Linked DNA regions of Arabidopsis thaliana. The protein of the gene in region 1 interacts with the protein of each later gene in a pairwise test. Each region holds a gene or a part of one and is shown in the gene's direction. Other genes may lie near its edges.

Region 1 (4,730 bases):
CGTTATTATTGTTCATTCAATGTCAGACTTTAGACCCTCTTAAAATGAGAGTTGATGCTTCAGTTTCTTAACGTGTCGCTTCTGTTTCTGAGTGTTTTAGAAAAGTTTTCTCATCTATCTTGCTTTCGTCTTTCTTTCATCTATTACGCTAATGGCTAAAAGTAGTGAGGAGCCTAAGTTTTCTTTGAGACTTATTGTTGATGAAGAGAAAAACAAGGTTGTTTTGGCTGAAGCTTGTAGGGATTTTGTTGATGTACTCTTCAGCCTTCTGACACTTCCAATGGGAACCATTGTCAGATTGCTTGAGAATCATCGAAAATCTGAGCCAGTAACTCTGGGCTGTTTTAACAATCTCTATAGAAGTGTTGTGGACATGGGCAGTGATTGTTTTGAGACTGAAGCTTGTAAGCAGATGCTTGTGTATCCGAAGAGTGTGAAAGACCTCCAGTGCAAAAGGCTTAAGCTCAACATAAACCCTACTGAGGACATCAAGTGTTTTAAGTGCTCAAGTTACTGCGGCTTGTACAGTAATTTCAGCACCTCTAAATGTCGTTGCGGAAAATTTATGAACGAGGAGATTCAGTTAGAAAACGAGGAACAAGATTTAGGCCGGTTTCAAGATGATGATAATGGAGTATTTGTCAGCGGTAGGTGTTCATTCGTCTTAACCGATGACTTGGAAGTGTCAGTCAAGTCCACTGAACTTGTCTTGAATAAGCTCAAATCCTTAGGTTGTGCTGATGTTGGTAAGCTCGGTGAAAGGCTTCTTGATATTGGTGTGAAAGAGGTATGTTAGTTAGTTTATTCTTCAAGCGTTTGTGTTATCATTACTTTATTAGTTCTCTCTTACTATATCTGAATCTTGGACTAGGTACTGACTCTGCTGGGATGTATATTCTCCTCAAATGCTCCCTTAAAGGACATTTTCTTGAACAAGAAGATTACACAAGGTGCGACGAAGTTTTACAAATCGCAAAGTCCATGTTTGGAGAAAAAAGAAGATGAAGCAGAACCTGAAAAGGTAGTAACTTTGAAAGCATTTGTGAGGAAGCAGGACATGAAGATTTTATTTGTTGAATGCGGAGAGGAATTTGTTGAGCTTCTTTTCTCTTTTATTGCTGTCCCGCTTGAATCTGCATGGGAAATCTCTGGCAGCAGTATCTCCTTAGGTTGCATAGGAAACATGTGTAGAACCTTCAGGGACTTAAATGAGGAGACTCAAATGTCAACTTCCACATGCGCACTTCCGTCTTTCTATAATTTCCAGATGCAACTGCCTGGTATTATCACTCAACAACCTCCGGTGTACTACCGTTACAGGCTCTACGATTACAGGCAAATGAACTATGGTTTGACTACAAACGGTAATCGAACTACTTATTACCGCAAAGACAGAATCGTTCGGGTGGATTTGAAGGATCCCAAATCCCGTGGCAGCGATAAGTCTGCTCAGGGGTTCTTGAAGAAAGCGACAAAGTGTACTGTATTAGATGATCTGACCATTACATCTATGAACTCCTGCTCCACAGTTTGTTTACTAAAGAAGTTGCAGAGTCACGCAGACGATCTAGAGGTGCAAGTAATTAGTATCAGCAATGCAGAGGTATGTTTCTGTATACCCTTTTTGATCCTGTATTCTTGAAAGGAACTTGACTGACACTTGATTTTGAATTAGGCTTTGGATTTGTTGAGAGCTTCCTTGGTGACATCCTCTGCTTTGAGCACGACATTATGGAATTTGATTGCTAAGAAACTGAAGGAGGAGACTGATTTATGGGACACGGTTTCAAAGAAAGTGAAGGAAGAGACTTGAAGAAATAGAAAGCTAGTGAGAATGAACTCTAAGTCGATTGTTGATTATGTTTTTAGAATTCCGCAAAATCTACATTACATTCCTCATGTTTTCTTCCAAGCCTTATCTTTCTTTGTAAGACTAATCAAATTATTGTTTTATGGAAATTCATCTTAATAGGGTTTTTTAAATGCAGGCAAAAACTTGCACATCTTTTTGAGTTTATAAAGCAACAAGCCTAAAATCTGGAATTTCCTAGTACGATAAGACTGAAATATACAACCATTACCAAAAAAAATGCATCCATATACAAAAGTTTATAATAAGATCCAGTTGGTATATAGTAATTGGGAATGTTGAAGACATATGAAGTGTTGATCAGAAAAAAATAAGACTTGAAGTTAATTAATGGAAACCCTCTTTCTCAGCCAGAAGACTTGAAGGCTTCTATTCTCCTCCGTTGCCCACAAAAACAAAATTTGCTTCGCCGTTTTCGGCTCCGGCGTGATTCTTGAGAAGAACTGAAGTAGAGAGAGAGATCTGAAATCTCAATCTCCGATTTAACTTGGTAACTAGAGAAGCTTTTGATTCCTATTCTTTCTTTTGATTTGTATTTCTTAGGGTTCCGTTCATGTAACTTTTACAGCGACAATGCTTCAAATTCGTCTTCGGAGGGATTCCCCGACGGAAACTGGAAATGGTGCGAGGCCTTCTCCGACGGAGACGGTTACTGTAGCCTGTCCCGACCATCTCGTCCTCGCCGATCTTCCTGTTGCGAAAGGAATCGGTTCCGTGACTCCCACCACCGTAATCAAGCCCGTCGGTCGTCGTTCTCGCCGTCAGCTAGGCGAGAGAGTTCACTTCTGCGTTCGTTGCGATTTTCCGATTGCAATCTATGGTCGTCTGGTAAAAAACTTCGCTTCCTTCATTGGTTTATGGCTATATTGATTTGCCTTAAAGAGTTTTTTTAAGGGGGCTCTTCTTCTATATGTGATTGAAACTTTTTTTGTTTTGTTTTGGTTTTGCAGATTCCTTGTGATCATGCCTTTTGCCTTGAATGTGCTCGCAGTGATTCCATCTGCTATCTGTAACCATCTTTAACTCTCATCGAATTTCATTAGAAGCTTTGATAGAGATACTTTAGATTGTTTGGTAATCTACAGAGACGCAGGATTATCATAGTTTGAACTAGGCTTCGAATTTCATTAGAAGCTTTGATAGAGATATTCTAGATTGTTTAGTAATCTACAGAGACATTTTAAGATTTACTAGGCGTAGCGATTATCAGACTGAAATCTTGTTGTCTCTTGTGTGTGTGATTACTGCACAGATGTGATGAGCGGATTCAGAAGATTCAAACAATCAAGATGATGGAAGGGATCTTCATCTGTGCAGCTCCTCATTGTCTTAGGTCTTTCCTGAAGAAACTTGACTTTGAAGCCCATGTCCATGACCTCCATGGAAGCCTATTACAAGCCGATGCAGAGAAAGAAGATGGTAACCAGTCAGATGTTCAGAGCACAATGCAGCAGTCTTCAGCTTCAGAATCCACCTTGCGAGCTCCTTTAAGATCCCAGCTGCAACAATCCCGTGAACTAAACAGGTCGGCGTCATTTGCAAAGTCACAGTCTGGATTTAGTCAAGTCCAGAATTACCCTCCAGATAGCGATAACTCTCGCCCTCCTGGATTCGAAACCGCTAGTCCTAAACCAGGAATCCGGTTCCCAGACTACCCCCAGCCTATGAATCTTATGCAACCGCCCAGCTTGCCCGTTCCAATGAATCAAAACCCGGGTTTACCACAGCAGTTTGGTTTTCCTTCGTATCCAACAACAGAGAGTGGATCATCTCAACAATTCTTTAACGGTGCTCAGTACGAGATGACAAGAACAGAGAGCGGCGGATCAGAACAAAGTTCATTGCTCGGGTATCCCCCGCCTTCACCAATGACGAATCTGAATTTCCAAGGATCGTATCCTCCTCCATCATGGAATCCCGGAATGGCACCGCCTCACACGACCCAGCAGGTTAACCGGGGTAGAGACGGTCAAAGTTTTGGGTGGCCACAAGAGAACCGTGATGGCTTTGGGCAGGAGTAAGAGTAGTCTAGTTTGAATTTGTGCAATGTTAAACTCGTCGTTTGAAAGTTTCAAGTACTTTTGTTTCTAAAAACTGTGTCGTTTGTTGTTGGTCTAACATGTAATTCGAGTAAACCCAATTTCAACCGAGCCAAAACCGTGCCAAAAATTCCATCGGAAAAACCAAACTGATTTGGGTTGAACCAAAGGTTTTACACCATTTTATAGGAACAACCATCGTAGATTGCACCCACTGTGTCACTGTGATAAAGAAAGAACTAAGATTGATATTTTGGTTTTTAGCTCTTTTTCTTTACTGTTTTGGGAGGATGATGATGATGGTTATTATATGAGTTGAGATTTTTTCTAAACACCGCCGATGATCTCACTAATCTTAGGCACAGCTATGCTTACAGACAATATTTCACAGTCTCTTTATTGGGATTCCTTCACTCTACATATGTATTCACTATTCAGCACCAAGTTCAAATTTCTGTAAGCATTTATTCTCTAGCATAAACACACACGAAAATATACTATTAGCTAGTTAAGTATAAAATTATCAAATAACTTATTCATATTTGTTAGTTTTAAACTAGAAATCATGTGAATTGAACTGAACCAGTTATTGATAAGTGTGTGGCTATGAGAAATTTCGTTTCAAATGGATTCTCCAATTATGAACCATAATGATACATAACAATATTTGCAAGACACCATTATTTCACATTATGAGAATAGAAGAAAACTGAGATCTAAGACACTTTTTCCCATGTTTTCTATGAATTATTACGATCCCCATATAAATTTTCAAAATGTAAAAGCTATAATCATTGTCGTAATTTTCATGATTAATCACA
Region 2 (7,661 bases), on another chromosome or scaffold:
TTATGGCCCATATACGAAGCCCAGAAACAAAAAAAAACTACGATCTTGAATTTATTACAAAAGCATCCATTTTTTCAACAGAAGAATTCCATTTTGAATCTCAGATTTGATCATATTGGCAGAAAAAACACTAATTGAAATAAACTAAAAGTTTGACAAAAAAAAGAAATAAACTAAAAATAAATATTTGAGACTTACGAGGATGAAACAAACTTAAAATGTGAATAGTATTGTAGCAATTCTTTTTTGAAATAATTAACTTTTAGTGATGTAGCAGGAAAAAAGAAAAAACTAAAAAAAAAAAAAAAAAAAAAAGAAAAAACTAAAATGTTAGGCGTTGAATTACTAGTTTTTTTTAGTAGGAGAGTACGAAGAAGGAAGAGGAGGTTAAAGTGCAAGAGAGGCATGAGAGCAGTAAATGGCCTAAAGCCCATGCAGCCTCTGTGTACACATTTAATGCGTCGAAACTATTCGCCACCCTATCGCATACGTACGTACGTATAACTCCATCTATATATCTGTACCTACATATATACAGTAAAAATCAGAAATAAGTTGGGTTATTGTTTTTTTATATATAGTTATTTTAAAGAATCTAGGTAAAGTATAAACTTACTGAAAAGAAAAACTTGAGTGTTAAAGCTATAGCTATAAGGACTTTAAAAAAAAAAACAAAGCTTAAGAACTAGGTAATTAAATACGCAGTATATTTCTCTATATATTCGCGTGATAAATTAAGATGAATGCATGGCTTTTACAAATTATCACCTTTTTAATGGGTGATCCGTATTTTAAATAGCTTAATTGCACGTTATAGTTATAAATGCTTGGGCCACAAAGTAATTAATATTTCTAGGCATGTAAAATGAAGTCTTACTGTGAAAAAAGTGATATTTCATTGACTTCCTTAAATTGAAAAAACAATTGTTTCGTAAACAAAACTCAAAATTAAGGTGATGATTTTTAGATTTTCTTCTTTTAAATGAAATAAAATAAATACATCACTCAATCAACTTCTGTCTGACTAACAATAATACAACCTAAACTTCTATAATATTTAAGAAAATGCCATGTGGAAGAAGAATCATGAAATTTTCCTTCTTTACAATTAAATTTATAACAAAGATATGAAATAATAATAAAATAAAATAGTTAAAAATATAATAGTCATATTTTTTGAAAGTAAAAATTAAATTTATATCTCATAAAGATAAATATTAACTATAACAAGTCATTGAATTTTAGTTAAAAAACTATATAATTTTTTTCCATATTATAAATAATCTAAGAGTATTAAAATTTCAGAAAATTACTTTTAAAATTGTATCCTTGACAAATGGGGACTATTGTCTAACTTTTTCTGTAAATGGAGAACTGTATTAAAGCAAATTTCAATATAGTTAAATCTTTTTTTAATATAGTTAATTTTGTTAAGTGGTGATTTATTGCATATGCATAAGTTATGAATAATGCTAATGATTTTTTAAAAATAACTACATATCTAATAGATAAATGTAAGTCTCATAGGCTCATAGACCGTTAGCCGTCATTCCTCACCACATTATAATATTTTAAATAAATAAAAAATAAAATTATTTTAGGTTGACATTGTATATAAGATGAAAAACAACACATAATTTTGTAACATAAATAAAATAAATTGTAACATATCTCTCTCTCTCTATATATATATAAGCGTGTAGGATAATTAAGTGTCCCTCTCGCACCATTTAATTTCATTGCACCCTCTCAATTCTCTCTGTCATTACTCTCTCATCTCTCTTCCTCCAAGATTTGCACCTACCTTTCAAACCTTTTGCTCGCCAACAAAACCGCGCTTCACAAAACCATCAGCGGTTTTCCGAGAAACAAATCTCAGACCAGACACCGCTCTACTCTTCTCTCTCTCTCCCTCTAGGGTTTCGTCGCTTCTTCCTATATCCCAGTGTATGTCTCGAAAACCTCATCATTTCTGCTGTTTTCTTTATTTTATCCATTAATTCATGTACACAAATTTATTTGTTTAAAGTATCATTGGATCCATTACACTTCAGTTTTCTTAGCATCTTTATAAAACTCTCACTTTCATGATGTTTTTTTTTTATAATTTAATATATCCTGTATGTTGAATTTTCAGTTAGTCATCTATATTTTGTCTTAAATTTTGCCTTCTTTAGCATTAATTAATTGATTTCTTGCCTCTAATATCTTTCATTCCTCTCCTAATTTGCTTTCTGACTTTCTGATTTATTGTATTCTTCTTTAAATAATCTTATCAATTTCTGCATAGTCAGAGATGAAACCTTCAAGAAAACAATAAAGAGGAAAGATTAAAGGTTAGTATTCCCTTGCCTACCAAAAAAAACAGAAAGGTTTGTATTCTCTTCGTATATCCTTATTTTCATTATACGTTTGGTTTTATATATAAACACGTGTATATACTTTATAGTAGTAGTATACATTTACATATTAATGTGTGTAATAAAAACGTTTAAATACGATGATGATGATAAGAAATAGCTGGAAAAAATTAATACATCACCCAGGCCTTATGTCACGTTGGTTGTAAGTTGTATAATAACTATATGTTGGTCCGTCGCACAGGTGCACAGATATAATACTATTTTTTTCATTTCAATTTTTTTTTCTTTCTTAATCGCCAAATAGTAGTTTACACTTTTTCCTGAAGAGTTTTTATTTTTTGAAAATCTACTAATGATTATATTTAATTAAATTTTGTTTTGTTCTCACGAAAATATTGTTTTTTTAATAAACAGGATAGAGTTGGGAATTTATTTGTACCTACTTTTTCCCATTTTATTTGCTTTGAACAAATGAGTCCAACATTTCTCTTTTCGTCTTCTCTTTCCTATCCCATCTAAATCAAAACTGATCAAAATACCTCGAAATTTTAAATTAAATCACCATCCATCAAAGCTATTATAGTGTAGAAATTTTAAAGTTTTTTCTTTGGACAACAATTGATTTCCATCTACACTACATATGATATGACTCTTGAATCAATCATAGTTTTTATTTCAGTCTGCTGATTAGTTTTTTTCTTTTCTTTTAAAAGGGTAAAAAATCGGTAGTTTCGAATAATTTTGAGTATGTGAAAATTCATTATTTTTGGGTTGGTTATTCAATAACAAATTAATTTGTGATTGTGATGTCTTTTTTATGCAAGGCTCTTTTTTCTTGCTTTCAATTAGTGGGTCCTTTGTTTCCTACAATCATCTCCAATTCTTCTGTTTGCTTATATCATTTTGTATGATCTTCAAGAAGAAAGATAAACGACTCCGAAGAAAGATTTAAGTTATTGTTGTTCATACAAAAAGAAGGTTGTAAAGTTGTTGACGTGGACAAAAGTATTGCCATATTTTTCCAGCCTCGAAGAAATTTCCCTTCTTCTTCAAACCCTAAATTTTGACAAAACTCTCTACTTTTTTTTGCTTCTAGGGTTTGCTTTCAGTTTCCGGAGTATAAGAAAAGATGTTCGAGCCAAATATGCTGCTTGCGGCTATGAACAACGCAGACAGCAATAACCACAACTACAACCATGAAGACAACAATAATGAAGGATTTCTTCGGGACGATGAATTCGACAGTCCGAATACTAAATCGGGAAGTGAGAATCAAGAAGGAGGATCAGGAAACGACCAAGATCCTCTTCATCCTAACAAGAAGAAACGATATCATCGACACACCCAACTTCAGATCCAGGAGATGGAAGCGTATGTGTTTAACTTACTCACTTACTTCAATTTTCTTGTGTGTTTTTTGACAATTCTTTTGTTTTGGTTGTTAAATAGGTTCTTCAAAGAGTGTCCTCACCCAGATGACAAGCAAAGGAAACAGCTAAGCCGTGAATTGAATTTGGAACCTCTTCAGGTCAAATTCTGGTTCCAAAACAAACGTACCCAAATGAAGGTATACTTTTTATATTATGAACATATATACATTAGTTAATGGATCTATATATATTAGAGAAAATATATATACTTGTTAATTAAATTGTTATTTCATTCATATTAAGTCTTGTATATATACATTGAAGGGCTTATCTTTATACTTAAGAACATTTTGGGTGGCTGGTGTTTTCTTTCAGAATGAATTCATTGACTTTTGGCAGATTTTAGATCTAGTTGAGACACTTTGACTTAAAATTTCTTACTTATTTTTTTTTTCAATTGAAAAGTTGTTCCTTTGGCAGAACTATATATTTGGCGGATCAAGCTATAGAAAATTGTTTGGTTGTAACAACATTGCCTATTTATTATCTTAGTTAGAGCCATATATAATCTATAGATTGAAACGTTTTGGACACATATGCTTACGTTATGCAAATACGGTGAAACACATAACGTGTACACGAGTGTTTTATTTGAAACATACACTTTTCCTCTTTTTAAGTAAAATCCTTTGTTCCTTCGTTTTACCCAAATTAGAAATAAATCACTTGTATAAAACTTTAGAGATAACCGGAATATAAGTTTTATTTGCGCAGAATCATCACGAGCGGCATGAGAACTCACATCTTCGGGCGGAGAACGAAAAGCTTCGAAACGACAACCTAAGATATCGAGAGGCTCTTGCAAATGCTTCGTGTCCTAATTGTGGTGGTCCAACAGCTATCGGAGAAATGTCATTCGACGAACACCAACTCCGTCTCGAAAATGCTCGATTAAGGGAAGAGGTATGAGAATCAACTATTTTAAATGTTCAAATAATGTTAAGAGTTTTACACTTAAATGTTGTCAAGAAGATAAAATAAAAAATTAGAATTTGTTTTTATACCACTAATGTTATATCGCTTTCACAATAATCATTTCTTTCTTCATAAAATAAAAACTTTTATAGATTTGTATTGAAATTAGAGAATTTAAACATTTTTTTTTCATTGAAGAATAGAAAAAATTATGATATTAAATTGAGATACTAAAACGATATTTTTGGAACTGTAAGGAGTAGTAGTACATAATAACAACATTACTCAACGTTTCTTCTTGTGACCAAACTTTGAAAACCACAAGGATCAATAATCTTTCTTATTTGTCTGTTTTAGATCGACCGTATATCCGCAATCGCAGCTAAATACGTAGGCAAGCCAGTCTCAAACTATCCACTTATGTCTCCTCCTCCTCTTCCTCCACGTCCACTAGAACTCGCCATGGGAAATATTGGAGGAGAAGCTTATGGAAACAATCCAAACGATCTCCTTAAGTCCATCACTGCACCAACAGAATCTGACAAACCTGTCATCATCGACTTATCCGTGGCTGCAATGGAAGAGCTCATGAGGATGGTTCAAGTAGACGAGCCTCTGTGGAAGAGTTTGGTTTTAGACGAAGAAGAATATGCAAGGACCTTTCCTAGAGGGATCGGACCTAGACCGGCTGGATATAGATCAGAAGCTTCGCGAGAAAGCGCGGTTGTGATCATGAATCATGTTAACATCGTTGAGATTCTCATGGATGTGGTAATTAACATTTTCATTTTACTTAAAAGCAATCTTCTCTGTTTAGTTTCAACAACATTGATATGATGTTGCAGAATCAATGGTCGACGATTTTCGCGGGGATGGTTTCTAGAGCAATGACATTAGCGGTTTTATCGACAGGAGTTGCAGGAAACTATAATGGAGCTCTTCAAGTGGTAATTTTTTTTGCTTTTATTCTGTAAAAATTAAATTTCAAACTGAAATAACCACTCTGTTTTGCTTGCAGATGAGTGCAGAGTTTCAAGTTCCATCTCCATTAGTCCCAACACGTGAAACCTATTTCGCACGTTACTGTAAACAACAAGGAGATGGTTCGTGGGCGGTTGTCGATATTTCGTTGGATAGTCTCCAACCAAATCCCCCGGCTAGATGCAGGCGGCGAGCTTCAGGATGTTTGATTCAAGAATTGCCAAATGGATATTCTAAGGTAATATAATAAAAACATTAGGTTATACAAAATGTTTACTTAAGTAGAGAGAATTAATGTAACAGGTGACTTGGGTGGAGCATGTGGAAGTTGATGACAGAGGAGTTCATAACTTATACAAACACATGGTTAGTACTGGTCATGCCTTTGGTGCTAAACGCTGGGTAGCCATTCTTGACCGCCAATGCGAGCGGTTAGCTAGTGTCATGGCTACAAACATTTCCTCTGGAGAAGTTGGCGGTATAACCTACTGTTTGTTTCATAAACAGTTTTCATAATCAGAGTCAGAGTCAGAATCACAGTTCTATATTAATGAATATGCAGTGATAACCAACCAAGAAGGGAGGAGGAGTATGCTGAAATTGGCAGAGCGGATGGTTATAAGCTTTTGTGCAGGAGTGAGTGCTTCAACCGCTCACACGTGGACTACATTGTCCGGTACAGGAGCTGAAGATGTTAGAGTGATGACTAGGAAGAGTGTGGATGATCCAGGAAGGCCTCCTGGTATTGTTCTTAGTGCAGCCACTTCTTTTTGGATCCCTGTTCCTCCAAAGCGAGTCTTTGACTTCCTCAGAGACGAGAATTCAAGAAATGAGGTAACTATTTTAGTTACTACGCTCTCTTGTTCTGTTTTGGACAGAGTTTTGATGTTTTTGTGAGATTTTGCAGTGGGATATTCTGTCTAATGGAGGAGTTGTGCAAGAAATGGCACATATTGCTAACGGGAGGGATACCGGAAACTGTGTTTCTCTTCTTCGGGTAAATGTGAGTTACACCGGGTTTTGAACTATTGTTATAATCATCTGATCCTAGCTAAGAGTTTTCAATCTTTCTTTATGTCACAGAGTGCAAACTCTAGCCAGAGCAATATGCTGATCCTACAAGAGAGCTGCACTGATCCTACAGCTTCCTTTGTGATCTATGCTCCAGTCGATATTGTAGCTATGAACATAGTGCTTAATGGAGGTGATCCAGACTATGTGGCTCTGCTTCCATCAGGTTTTGCTATTCTTCCTGATGGTAATGCCAATAGTGGAGCCCCTGGAGGAGATGGAGGGTCGCTCTTGACTGTTGCTTTTCAGATTCTGGTTGACTCAGTTCCTACGGCTAAGCTGTCTCTTGGCTCTGTTGCAACTGTCAACAATCTAATAGCTTGCACTGTTGAGAGAATCAAAGCTTCAATGTCTTGTGAGACTGCTTGAAAACCATCCATTAGGTACTACTTTCACTAAATATATTCTTCTCGCTTTTACGCCATTATATGATGTAATCATATTTTTCTTCTTCTTTCTGCAGGAAATAACAAAATGGTGATGATGGAAAAAAGAGAGAGATTTCAGTTTGAGAAAAGCGGAGGAGTCAAGATCGAACCTCACAAGAGAATACCATTGAGTGTTTGTTAGTGTTAAGTTTTGGTCTGCTTATTTGATGAAACTAAGCAGTGAAAAACTTTTTACTTGAAAGTGAATATGTAGATGGTTTTACGAGGTTCGGGAATTTGACTTCCCCTGTCACATACTGAATTAGACAAAAACAAAAACTAGGTTAGAAAGAATGCTTTCGGATTTCTTTTTGTGTTACAGTTACTGTTTTTCTTTCCTTCTTGTGGTTAGATGGACCATCATCAGGAATTTGGAGTTTGTCTTTCTTTTGTATAAATATCTTATACAAGTATTTTGGTACTTTTGTAAGCTTATGTGAGTTTGTCTAGGGGAAAGCTCACACTTTTTTTTA
Region 3 (4,525 bases), on another chromosome or scaffold:
CAATGTCATAATCAGTACAAAATAAATCACCTACCAACCTGAACTATATGTTATATATTTTGAGGGGCCACGTCAAGTGTGCCGTTTATTTTTGTGTTTATGATTGTTTAATATTTGTGCGTGTGATGGTGTTTCTTGCTTAGTTTCCACTTAATACACAATCAAATATCAAGTGGAACTATTTATGAAAATTGTTCTTCGAGAAGAATTCTGACCCTAAAAGGTCATTTGAGGGCTTGAGGCTTATTGTTTCCAAATTACACCAGTAAACAAGGGTTTTTTTTTGTCAACAAAGATTATTGTAATTCGAATTTCGTCTACAATAAAACAAATTTTCTTACTAAAACAAAACAATTAGCTGACGGTTGATATTTCGGCTTTTGAGTTTAATTAACTAATTGGTGATTATGTTGATGATCTTTCACACCTAATGAAGTGTCATGTATATGTATATATGTATATACTTATGTATATATAAAACGTACATATAATCATTTGTCATATATATCATCATGTATTGCATGACTAAACTACCCTTAAAAGAGGAATACGATAGACATGACCTTTAGGAATTTGTTTTTTTCTTCTAAATGGATTCCTTCGCTTCTTTTTAGCCTCGTAGTGAATTTGAACATTGCAGTTATTTCTAGTAAGATATTTTTTCTGTATTTTTCGGAAAATGTTAAAAACTAATTATACACAATTTACTTTCTCTCTCAACTCTTATTTTACGTTACTGTTTTTTTTTTCCTCTTGCAAAATTAGAGCTGCTGTATTTACATTTACTAGTAATTTGGTAGATAGACAGTTAATGTAGTATATAGATGGGGTTGAGGGCAAATGATTACTTGGGAGATGGTGCAATGCATCAGAGTGATGATGTGGAATTTAATAAGTGTGAATTTATGGGCAAAGGAAGGGAACTAGTAGTAGAAAGGGAAATAAATACAGTACAAGTAAGAGGAAAACGAAAAGAGAGATAGAAACCATAATAATGAGTTAACGCAGACATAGCCGCCATTTTCAACTTCTCACTCCCACTTACAACTTCTCCTTCTGGGCAAGTTTTCCACATCAATGCTCGTCTTAATCACCATTAATCTCTACTCATCATTAATACGTTGAAGCCCACTATTTCAAAATTTACTAGGAGTATTTATTCGTGAAAAACATTTAAATGTCCCTAATTATAAGAGATTTAATTTCATATTTATTGTATTAAAGAGAATTTACATTAGCTGTCAAAAAAAAAAAAAAAAGAGAATTAACATTATTTTACAGAACATAAAATTTTGAAAATAGATAGCGCCACTGCATGTAAGAACATACAAATTTCTTTTTTTCAACAAAATCTATTTATATTTCTTCTTTTTTTGAACATTATGTGTAGTTTGTAGTAAACTAAAAAGTGTGACCAACACAATTTAAATCATTCGATTTTGTAGCAAAAACATTTTTGTTCCAATTTCCAAGCAGCAAATATGGTAGGAATATAAATTCTTTACTATTTTTCCTCTTAACACATAAAAGTAAAAAAAGCATTCAATGATCAGTTAAAATCTGGTTAGAATTCTACCTTATCATTTAGAACTAGCTAATATTTAAATTCATATATACAAAAAATAAAATGGGAACTGTAGAGACTAGAGACTATAAATAGAGGATTGAGAAGAAGAACTTTTAAAGCTCTATCAATCATGAACTACTCGCCTTCTCCAACTTTTAAAACTCATCATAAATAGTAAAAAAGTAGCCGGAAAAATAAAATAAAAAGTCTATTTCTCTTTCCTTTAAAATCCAAATCCTATAAACTCATAGCTTTCTCTGTTCTTTACTTATACCTCACGTTATACATATATATAGAGTTTCTATAAATGCTTCTCTTTCCTCTCGAACAAATCTTCCTCACTTCTCTCATTTCCACACTCACCTTCCTCTCTATATATTAAACCCTATCTACTTAACTCTTCTTCTAACTCTAATCTCTCTCTCTATTTACTCTGCTTCTGTTCTCACTCTGAAAGAACCAAAACATGACGGTGGTTAGAGAGTACGACCCGACCCGAGACTTAGTCGGCGTGGAGGACGTGGAACGACGGTGTGAAGTCGGACCAAGCGGCAAGCTTTCTCTTTTCACCGACCTTTTGGGTGACCCGATTTGTAGAATCCGACATTCACCTTCCTATCTCATGCTGGTAATAACATGTTTCACAATCTTTTATCTTCTTTTACTTGTATGTCTCTTCAAAAACTCTGTTTGTTTTTTGAACCTAGAAGTAGAAAACATAGAACACCAACTTCTCAACCTTTGGTTAATCCAAAAAACCCATTTTCCATAAACAATTAAAGTTCGGTTCTTTTTTTGGTATCATTTCTATTTTTTTCCGATTCTTGATAAGATCAAAAGACTCATCATTTATATTATTTTTTGCAACCAAATGATACCCGAGTAACTATAACTAATAAAGTTTCCTCTTTATTATAAAAGGTTAAAAACATATAATAACGGAAAATTTAAATTATGGGACTGTAACAGGTGGCTGAGATGGGTACGGAGAAGAAGGAGATAGTGGGCATGATTAGAGGATGTATCAAAACCGTTACATGTGGCCAAAAACTCGATTTAAATCACAAATCTCAAAACGATGTCGTTAAGCCTCTTTACACTAAACTCGCTTACGTCTTGGGCCTTCGCGTCTCTCCTTTTCACAGGTACCCTTCCGTTTTCCTCCCACTCATAATCACACGCTATTATAGATTTTGGTTATCTAAACTAGTTTTGGTTTTTGCAGGAGACAAGGGATTGGGTTTAAGCTCGTGAAGATGATGGAGGAATGGTTTAGACAAAACGGAGCTGAGTATTCGTATATTGCAACTGAGAACGATAATCAAGCTTCTGTGAATTTGTTCACCGGGAAATGTGGTTATTCGGAGTTTCGTACACCGTCGATTTTGGTTAACCCGGTTTACGCTCATCGAGTTAATGTTTCGCGGCGAGTCACGGTTATCAAGTTAGAGCCGGTTGATGCTGAGACGTTGTACCGAATCCGGTTTAGCACAACAGAGTTTTTCCCGCGGGATATTGATTCGGTACTTAATAACAAACTCTCGCTTGGGACTTTCGTCGCGGTGCCACGTGGAAGCTGTTATGGATCCGGGTCTGGATCATGGCCCGGTTCGGCTAAATTCCTCGAATATCCACCCGAGTCATGGGCCGTATTAAGCGTGTGGAATTGTAAAGACTCGTTTCTGTTAGAAGTACGTGGAGCGTCGAGATTGAGACGTGTGGTGGCTAAAACGACGCGAGTAGTTGATAAAACGTTGCCGTTTCTGAAACTACCTTCGATACCGTCCGTTTTCGAACCTTTTGGACTTCATTTTATGTATGGAATCGGAGGAGAAGGTCCACGCGCGGTGAAGATGGTGAAATCCTTGTGTGCTCACGCGCATAACTTGGCTAAGGCAGGTGGTTGTGGTGTCGTGGCGGCGGAAGTTGCCGGAGAAGACCCGTTGCGGCGAGGAATACCACATTGGAAAGTGCTATCGTGTGACGAGGATCTTTGGTGTATAAAGCGGCTTGGAGATGACTATAGTGATGGTGTTGTTGGTGATTGGACTAAATCGCCACCTGGCGTTTCCATTTTTGTAGACCCTAGAGAATTTTAAAACTTTTTTTTTAACTCTATAATATATATTCTCTATTAACCACTTGATGTTAAATTAGGGGTTTTCTTCTAAGTTTATAGATTTTCTTGTTTTAGAATTAATCTTTTTTTTTAGGTAACTTTTTTTGCTTTTTGTTTTGTTTTGTTTTGTTTTTGTGGGTGTTATAAATTAGTGGTAAGAGGTAATATCTCCTACTTTTGGGTTTGTGTCTTCTTGTCTTGTAAATGGATCTAGCTTTTTAAGATACTTTTTCTTTGTGGCCAAACCAAAACGCCGACCTGATTATTATTTCCAAGTAGATAAAATTTCATGAACGCACTGATACGTATAATGATGCAATTTGTGTTAAGACGATACTTTGGAGATAAAATTACAATTATGACAATGATAGAAAATGTTACCAATAACGATTAGCATTATCGTGTGTGCCATCAAGTATAAACTAAGAGAAAGACGCACATTTTCTTAAGAGTAAATAAAATATTATGTATATTAGTTTAGTAGTTCTTTTTAGGTGGAGGATTTTGGTTCTTAGTACTTTGCTAATTCGAGTTTGATCATTGATATTTGATAGTGATTGGAGAATAAAAACTTCTTTTGATATCGCTAATCTTACGTGTAAATGACATGAATATCAATGTCATGGACCACACTTTTTCCCCCAAATATGGTCCAAAGATGTTCAACTGATAGATTTATATGTTTCTTTTGTTGGTTTGCGGTAGCAAAAGCTATATCATGATGAAACCTTTGAATCGGGTTTGAGAACGTGTCCTTGTCCGAAAGAGGTATTGTCGAGTCGAGAGCACCGATCGAGTCAGGGAAATTGTTTATACTATAAGGTCTTGACCATCACATA

Evidence for each region. Proteins that work in one complex are often made in the same cells at the same time.
Region 2: the proteins of AT5G01160 (region 1) and HDG2 interact in a two-hybrid assay, tested with the Arabidopsis thaliana proteins (one large-scale study listed by BioGRID).
Region 3: the proteins of AT5G01160 (region 1) and HLS1 interact in a two-hybrid assay, tested with the Arabidopsis thaliana proteins (one large-scale study listed by BioGRID).

The regions. Positions count from the first base shown.
Region 1 is NC_003076.8:51,837-56,566, forward strand, and holds AT5G01160 (RING/U-box superfamily protein), read left to right. Parts: upstream 1-2,019; 5' UTR 2,020-2,360; exon of another isoform or gene 2,361-2,438; 5' UTR 2,439-2,443; coding exon 2,444-2,698; intron 2,699-2,820; coding exon 2,821-2,879; intron 2,880-3,122; coding exon 3,123-3,891; 3' UTR 3,892-4,216; downstream 4,217-4,730. Other genes in the region: AT5G01150 (hypothetical protein (DUF674)), read left to right, coding at 152-787, 872-1,603, 1,676-1,813. UniProt on the Arabidopsis thaliana protein: Probable E3 ubiquitin-protein ligase which is a subunit of the N6-methyltransferase complex, a multiprotein complex that mediates N6-methyladenosine (m6A) methylation at the 5'-[AG]GAC-3' consensus sites of some mRNAs.
Region 2 is NC_003070.9:1,512,856-1,520,516, reverse strand, and holds HDG2 (homeodomain GLABROUS 2), read left to right. Parts: upstream 1-1,616; 5' UTR 1,617-1,947; intron 1,948-2,290; 5' UTR 2,291-2,336; exon of another isoform or gene 2,337-3,459; 5' UTR 3,460-3,492; coding exon 3,493-3,734; intron 3,735-3,812; coding exon 3,813-3,930; intron 3,931-4,507; coding exon 4,508-4,696; intron 4,697-5,065; coding exon 5,066-5,479; intron 5,480-5,553; coding exon 5,554-5,655; intron 5,656-5,726; coding exon 5,727-5,927; intron 5,928-5,954; exon of another isoform or gene 5,955-5,992; coding exon 5,993-6,167; exon of another isoform or gene 6,168-6,251; coding exon 6,252-6,523; exon of another isoform or gene 6,524-6,596; coding exon 6,597-6,692; coding exon of another isoform or gene 6,693-6,713; exon of another isoform or gene 6,714-6,772; coding exon 6,773-7,129; 3' UTR 7,130-7,143; exon of another isoform or gene 7,144-7,217; intron 7,218-7,223; 3' UTR 7,224-7,616; downstream 7,617-7,661. UniProt on the Arabidopsis thaliana protein: Probable transcription factor. Involved, together with PDF2, in the regulation of flower organs development by promoting the expression of APETALA 3 (AP3) in the epidermis and internal cell layers of developing flowers.
Region 3 is NC_003075.7:17,656,899-17,661,423, forward strand, and holds HLS1 (Acyl-CoA N-acyltransferases (NAT) superfamily protein), read left to right. Parts: upstream 1-1,695; 5' UTR 1,696-2,033; coding exon 2,034-2,195; intron 2,196-2,483; exon of another isoform or gene 2,484-2,536; coding exon 2,537-2,712; intron 2,713-2,792; coding exon 2,793-3,666; 3' UTR 3,667-3,980; downstream 3,981-4,525. UniProt on the Arabidopsis thaliana protein: Ethylene-responsive N-acetyltransferase required for differential cell elongation in the hypocotyl. Regulates apical hook formation of dark-grown seedlings. May control differential cell growth by regulating auxin activity.